2 linked regions of the Tribolium castaneum genome follow. The protein of the gene in region 1 purifies or fractionates together with the protein of each later gene. This does not show direct contact. Links are inferred from orthologs where the notes say so. Each region holds a gene or a part of one and is shown on either strand. Other genes may lie near its edges. The genes, in order: Oseg6 and IFT43.

What was found.
Region 2: the proteins of Oseg6 (region 1) and IFT43 purify together in Homo sapiens (affinity purification with mass spectrometry; 3 studies listed by BioGRID and IntAct, counting the BioPlex papers as one, with this or other methods). This does not show direct contact. The link is inferred for Tribolium castaneum from reciprocal best matches to the Homo sapiens genes WDR19 and IFT43.

What each region holds. Positions count from the first base shown.
Region 1 is NC_087402.1:3,490,243-3,493,453, reverse strand, and holds the end of Oseg6 (WD repeat-containing protein 19), read left to right. Parts: coding exon 1-71; intron 72-114; coding exon 115-495; intron 496-541; coding exon 542-1,764; intron 1,765-1,813; coding exon 1,814-2,112; intron 2,113-2,164; coding exon 2,165-2,241; intron 2,242-2,289; coding exon 2,290-2,392; 3' UTR 2,393-2,543; downstream 2,544-3,211. UniProt on the Homo sapiens protein: As component of the IFT complex A (IFT-A), a complex required for retrograde ciliary transport and entry into cilia of G protein-coupled receptors (GPCRs), it is involved in cilia function and/or assembly.
Region 2 is NC_087394.1:35,543,630-35,547,561, reverse strand, and holds the start of IFT43 (intraflagellar transport protein 43 homolog), read right to left. Parts: upstream 2,479-3,932; 5' UTR 2,375-2,478; coding exon 2,333-2,374; intron 2,288-2,332; coding exon 2,139-2,287; intron 2,092-2,138; coding exon 2,065-2,091; intron 2,010-2,064; coding exon 1,896-2,009; intron 1,842-1,895; coding exon 1,652-1,841; 3' UTR 1,589-1,651; intron 1-1,588. Other genes in the region: TBC1 domain family member 12, read right to left, coding at 3,731-3,918. UniProt on the Homo sapiens protein: As a component of IFT complex A (IFT-A), a complex required for retrograde ciliary transport and entry into cilia of G protein-coupled receptors (GPCRs), it is involved in ciliogenesis.

The sequences.
Region 1 (3,211 bases):
CAAATCGGCGTTAACGAACATGACCAAACGATCCAAGAAACCAATTTTAACAAACAGATCGCATTGTATAGGTAACCACCCAGTCGTGTTCTATTTGTTAATAACTTTATATAGATTTTCGGCCGCTTGGACCACTTGCGAGACGCTCAAGTCGGAGGAATTGTGGCGAAAACTCGCAGTTGAAGCGATGAAACACTTGGAAATAGACTTGGCAATTCGGGTATTTAAACTCCTGGACGACGTCTCCATGGTGTGGTCTTTGGAGAGCATCGCCGGCGTCGAAGACCATAAATTATTATGCGGTTACGTTGCGATGTTTTTGAACGATTTCGATTTGGCTCAAGACTGGTTCATGGGTTCGAGTTATCCAGTGGCTGCGCTAGAAATGAGACGGGATCTCCTCCAGTGGGACCAAGCGTTGCAACTGGCGAAAAAAATGGCCCCGGAACAGATCGCGCTGATTTCACGCGAATACGCCCAACAGCTCGAATTCACGTAATTTTTTTTCTCTTGTCTTTTATTGAAATAACGACGTGTTTAGAGGGAACTACTCCGAAGCGCATATTCATTACGAAAAGGGGCTTCAGGAGGATTTAAGCCCCGAACATACGTTTATTTGCAAGGCCGGAATCGCGAGAACCGCCCTACATTGTAATAACACGCGACACGGCATCAGCATAGCGTTAGAATTGGACAACAAACAACTGTTGAAAGAGTGTGCCGAGATTCTCGAAAAAAACAAACACTTAAATGAGGCTGCAAACTTGTTTGAAAAGTGTCAGAATTACGATCGGGCCGCTTTGAACTACATCAAGCTGAGAAATTGGCAGAAAATCGGCGAGCTGTTGCCCAAAATCACCTCGAATAAAATACATCTTCAGTACGCTGTTGCGAAAGAAAACGAAGGTAAGTATGAGGAGGCAGTCCGGGCGTATTACACAGCCAAGGACTACGATTCCGTGATACGACTCCAACTGGAACACCTGAACAACCCTGAAATCGCCGTTGAGCTGGTCCAAGAGACCAAGAGTACGGAAGGCGCCAAACTCGTAGCGAAATTTTTCCAAAAATTAAACGACTACACTTCTGCCATCAAATTCCTCGTCATGTCGAAATGTAACGAGGAGGCGTTTGATTTGGCCCGAAAGCACGGCAAAATGCAACTTTACGGCGAGATTTTGCTCAATACCTTGGCACCGGATGAGTTAAGACCGCACGATTTTAACAGCATTGCTACGCATTTTGAGAATGAACGAAACAATTTACTGGCGGGGATTTACTGGTTTCACGCTAAGGAATATGCCAAGGCCATGAAACACCTCCTCAAGGCCGCCAAATCGAATTCGAAGGAAAACGAAGCTATAACTGCAGCAATAGACGTTGTGGCGTCCTCAAAAAACGAGGCACTGTCGTCCCAACTGATCGAATTTCTTCTGGGCGAGTCGGACGGCCTGCCAAAGGACCCGAAATACCTATTCCGTCTGTACATGGCGCGGAAGCAATACAAGGAGGCGTCAAAGTCGGCCCTCATTATCGCAAACGAGGAGCAAATCAATGGTAATTACCGGAACGCCCACGATGTTTTATTCGCAATGTACCAAGAGCTGAAGCAGAACGGAATCAAAGTCCCCAACGAAATGCAAGCCAATCTTATGCTACTGCACAGTTACATCCTGGTGCGGCTGCATGTCAAGAGGGGCGACCACCTGAAAGGGGCCCGAATGCTGATCAGGGTGGCCAACAACATATCGAAGTTTCCGTCCCGTGAGTGCACAAAAGCGGCTAGTTTTGCGACTGTTTCATTTGTCCGTAGATAAAGTTCCTATTTTAACGTCCACGGTTATAGAGTGTCACCGGGCGGGGCTCAAACATGCCGCTTTTAAATACGCGACGATGTTGATGAATCCCGAGTACAGGAAAAATGTCGATGCCAAATACGCGAAGAAAATTGAGGCGGTGGTGCGGAAGCCGCCCAAGTCGGGGAAGGCCGGGGACGGGGGCGGTGACCCCGTGGAGCCCCTGACGCCGTGTCCGTACTGCGAGAATTTGTTGCCCGAGACGGAGACGAATTGTAACGGTTGTAAAAATAATATCCCGTTTTGTGTTGTTACGGTAATTGTGGCATTTTAATTATTATTTATTATTATTTATTGTGGGGTTGTAGGGCCGCCATATTGTTACAACGGACTTGACCGCTTGTCCTGAGTGTGATTTCCCGGCTTTGCGGTCGCAGTTTATTGAGTAAAATAACTGTGAATTAAAATGATGTATTTTTGAATTGTTTTTCAGGATTCTTGATAGTGAAGATTCCTGTCCCATGTGTTCGGAGAAGGTTGATTCTCGCCGGTTACCCAAAATTGACGATCCTAAGCCGTATTTGAACGTTGAATAACTTTTTTGATCTCGTGATTGGAGTATTATTTATTTATTTATTTTAGTACAATTAGATTTTAGCAAGAAGTGATTTTAGCGAATGAAACTATCCGTCCATTTTTTAGTGCAATAGACTATTGTTGAATTGTGAAATAAAAAATGAAAGAAAATTGTGTTTTTTTCACATGCTTCAAAGTTTCCACCACCTCTAAAAAAACACTACACGGACAAACGATTGCGTTTGTTAAGTACCAGTAGTTCAATGCTTCCAGCGTTTTATCGATCCATAAAAATTTACACACGATATTTTTTCTCTTAAAATATAATTTCATAATGAAATTTGGACGCAGAATCGTCTGTAGTACTCATTTTTTTGAAATCGCCTCTAAAGCGACTGATATGGTCCACAATCTGCACACGTGTAATATTGGTTGCATAACATCTTATAAGAAATCAACAATTCAAAGTTTTTTTTTCCGGTCATCCCTAGTAGGATCACAAATACCTAATTATTTGCTAGAAAATAGTAGTCTTCAGCATTTAGTTATATTATCATTGATCAAAAATATTTTTTTATTAAAAAAAATATTAATACGTACTAATACTATACCAACAAGTCGTCTTTTTTATTCAGTTACAAGAATGGAATAATAAATGTGTATTTCCGTTTAATGCCATTTTTAAAAATTATTATTCTTTTTAAATAACTTCGCACGATAGGTTGTATTTTTTCAGAATAAAACTTTTATGTCCAACTCTTGTTTGCCCTCTTGAAATCCAATAACTACTTAACAATAGCAAAAAAATCTGTAGCAACAAATATGTAGATAATGTAGGT
Region 2 (3,932 bases), on another chromosome or scaffold:
CAGACACGAGACACATTTCCGACGACTTCCTCAAGCGTAACTTATGTCCATCGCTCACCATAAGTGATTTTTTTACCGAAACAAGCATAATGTCCAAAACGCAAGCTGCTTTTATCTTTATCGAAGATCTGAACGAAATCGAAAGAGATATACAACGGATACAGAACTACACACTTTGGAATGTGAGAGGCGAGACACACCTCATAATTTGTAAACGAATTGATTCGGTTGCGTTTTTACAAAACTTTGTGAAAACTGTATGGAAAAACCACATACTTAATTTCGTTGTTGTTTTTGTGCAAGAGACGTTGCAAATTTTTACGTACAATCCATTTATTGATAGAATTTTGAATCTGACCCACACTCCCGGATATTTTCCGAACAAATTGCAAAATTTGCATGGTTACAACCTCAGAGTCGGTTTTTTCATAAACTTCCCTCTTGTAAACAAATCGGACAACAAGTGGATAGGGAGAGACTACAATGTTTTGGAAATGGTCACAGAAAAGCTAAACTCAACGTTCCAAATTATCGAACCACCTGAAAATACGCACTACCAAGGGTGTTACAACGATATTTTAAACGGGCTGACAGATTTTTGCTTCGTTAGTCATTTCAGAGGCCCTCATGCGTACGAAAACGCAGAATTTACGTACCCCCATGAAATCAATGGTTTGGCAATTTTGTTGCCGTTTAACGAAACGTCTAGTTCTGCCACTGTTATCCTGTTCGAGGTGATTCCCATGATACTTTTTTTAGTGGTAATTGTAACAGTTTCAATTACGTCACTATTGGGCGAAAGTAATTTCCGAAAATTGCTTCTTGTGACAGTGTTATACATTTATTCGAGTCTTTTGGGTTACCCCTTTCCCAACCTGAATAAGAAACGTTGCAGTGCAAAAATACAAATTTGTGTTTTTATTTTTGGCTCAATTATCTTCAGAACGGCATTTCAGTGTTTCCTGATTACTAATTTCATGACAGCAAATCCGAGTAATCAAATAAATTCGGTTGAGGAATTAGAGCAAAGCCAAATACAAATTTACATTTCGCATCCTTTGGCTAACCGAATTTCCGAAGAGGACAGTCTTCGCAAACGTTTTATTTATCTCGATAATAGGAAAAAAAGGACCGAGATGATCTACAATGATTTGAACACGTCTGGAGCTTATGGCTTGTCGTGGAGTTCGGCAAAAAGTATCGAACTTATGATGAGAAATGAACATAAGCGAACTGTCTTTTATGTAATGAGAGAAGTTTTAGTGCCGAGTCATAGTACGTATATTTTTAAGAAACATTCCCCTTATTTGGACAAAATCAGCGAGTGGTTGTTACGAGAACAGCAATACAAGGTGGTTAAGGACGTTCCAAAATATAATTATGATAGTTTTTCGTCTGATAATGAAAACGTTTTAAAATTCCATCACCTCAAACATGTTTTCTGGTTTCTGGCGACTGGTCTCGGAGTCAGTTTTCTAATATTTGTCACAGAAATACTGACTAAGGCTTTTTTTAACAACGTACATTTATATTTAGGCACTTATTGTAAAATATATAATGAATAAAATTAATTTAAAAGTGCTCTGACCTGCAAAATGTGTGCATAAATACATCCTTGTGGAAAAAAAATGTAAAAAAAGTTACGATGAAGTCATTGTTTCGTAAGGTCTTGATACAATGACTCCATAGTCCACACTTCCGTACATCTTTGAACATCTTTCTCTGGATAAAGTCTGCTTGTTAAAATAGACAAGTCTACATCTCCAATATTTCCAAAATTTGGTTGGCCTGTTTCAAACTGACTATCCAGTTCTTTATAAGTTGATTCTTTCACAGTTATGCTACACGAGAATAATCAAATTAAATAATTAACATTTTCCTACTGTTTTACTCACTTAGGGACCTTTACATCAGGCAAATTAAGTGGATCATCGGCAATATCATCAATGTCAGGTATTACTGGAATATCATCCTCAGAATCTTGTGGTTTTTCATTTTGAAAGCGTTCTCTAACGTTATTTAATAATAATTTTACCAAAATATTACTTCAAAGTGCACACTTACTGCTCAATTATATTTGATCCTTTCACCCTAAAAGTTTGTGAGCACTTCTCACTTGCGATTTCAATAAAACTTACTTTGCAGATTTTACGCCCTCATCAGCCCATCCCCCAGTTTTCCTAGTTCTTATAGGCACTTCTGGTGGCGTTTTTTTGGTTGAACTTTGTGGCTGATCTTCTGGACTTGCAGGAGCATTGCTTGCCCGCCGTCCGTGTTTAGTAGCAGACTAACCTATAGTTAAATAATCAGTTTTCAAAAACATAAAACTTACTTTCTTATTTGGAAGTAAGTCTATGTCTTCGTCCCAATTCATGCTAGATTTGTTTGTATTCAACAAAAATCAATTAATTTACAAGTTGGGTTAGAATAAACATTAAACAGCCACCATGATAACCAATGACACCAACATTAAAAACTAAAATGTCTCAATGTTAAAACTTTTATTGGGCGACTGCTTTTTTAGTCCAAATAAATAAGGTACAGTCAGGTACATTTCCTGTTTTATTTTTTATAAAATGTACATATCAATTCAATATCTTAATTTCCATTGTATACGAATAAAAAAAATAATCTTACTTAAATGTTAACAATACAAACAGTTCATAAATCATAATCATGCCTGTAACTTTAAAAGAAGCGAATATCTACAAGATCCCTAAAAGAACAAATGTCATTTTACAAATGTCATATTATTTTAGTCACTTGCTATCGATAAATTATTTAATAAATTATGCATATTATCTTAAAATTACAAAAAATAAAATGAAGCATTTTCATAGATACAAGTTGTTTCAGCGTTTTTATATACATACATACTCGTATAAGCCGTACCAAAGAATGACCGTTTTTACATCCTAGATCCTTACTGGAGTCTAGATATAATGGTTCATAAAAATTAGTTAAAGTTAATTATCAGAAAAAGGTGTAAAAACGGTATATCCTCTGTACGACTTTACCACTGCTAAAATAAATTCAGGAGTTTGCATTAAATTTTTTATATTGTACAGATGAACCATATAATTATTGCTACGATGAGACACACAACAAAAACTTACTGCAAACTTCCTATTGAAAACTTTAAAATCACAATTACTTTTAATTTTTTTAATTATTCAGACAGCCAACAAGGAAATTACATTAAGGATGGCCGTTCTACAACACCAAATTGAGAAATGTTAAAATCTTTACCAACCTTAACACAATGTCGCCAACAATGGATTTATCATAATTTTACACAGCCTTTGACTAAAATGTAACTCTGTTAAATATGAACATTACATATATAAGTTTATCTAAAAAAAAGTTTAAAACCATCTTTAAAAATGACAAAAATTTGTTTTCGTAATTACACATAGTATCAAACAAAGACAATGGCAAGTTAGAGAAGATAAAGAGTAAACGATACTTTCAAGCGTAATTTATCGTTTGTTAAAAAGTATATTCACCTGAAACAGTCAGAAAATGCATAAGCACCTTCAACGAGATTCTGTAATTATGTAACTGGACGGAAATAAATATGATATAATTATACTGCAAAACTGCATTTCAAGCTAAAAACTAACATACAAATCTGTTTTCCTTTCATCTAGTTCAAGTATTACTTAATTGAGTTTCTTTCACAAAACCAACACCTAAATAAATATCTCTTATAAAAACAATTGGAATTTTATTACCTGACAGAAAGGCTATATTTATCAACAATTTGGCAAAAGTTTTGCTTTCCTATACTTGTCGTAACCGCTTGTATGCTTCTGAATAACTGATCTGACGACAAATCGTCAGGTAAACGCGTAAGGAACTGTGCTCCGTGCAAAAAATCCATAGTTATTAGAATATCTTGATTTAAATGAAGAATACCTGAAACAAGCAGG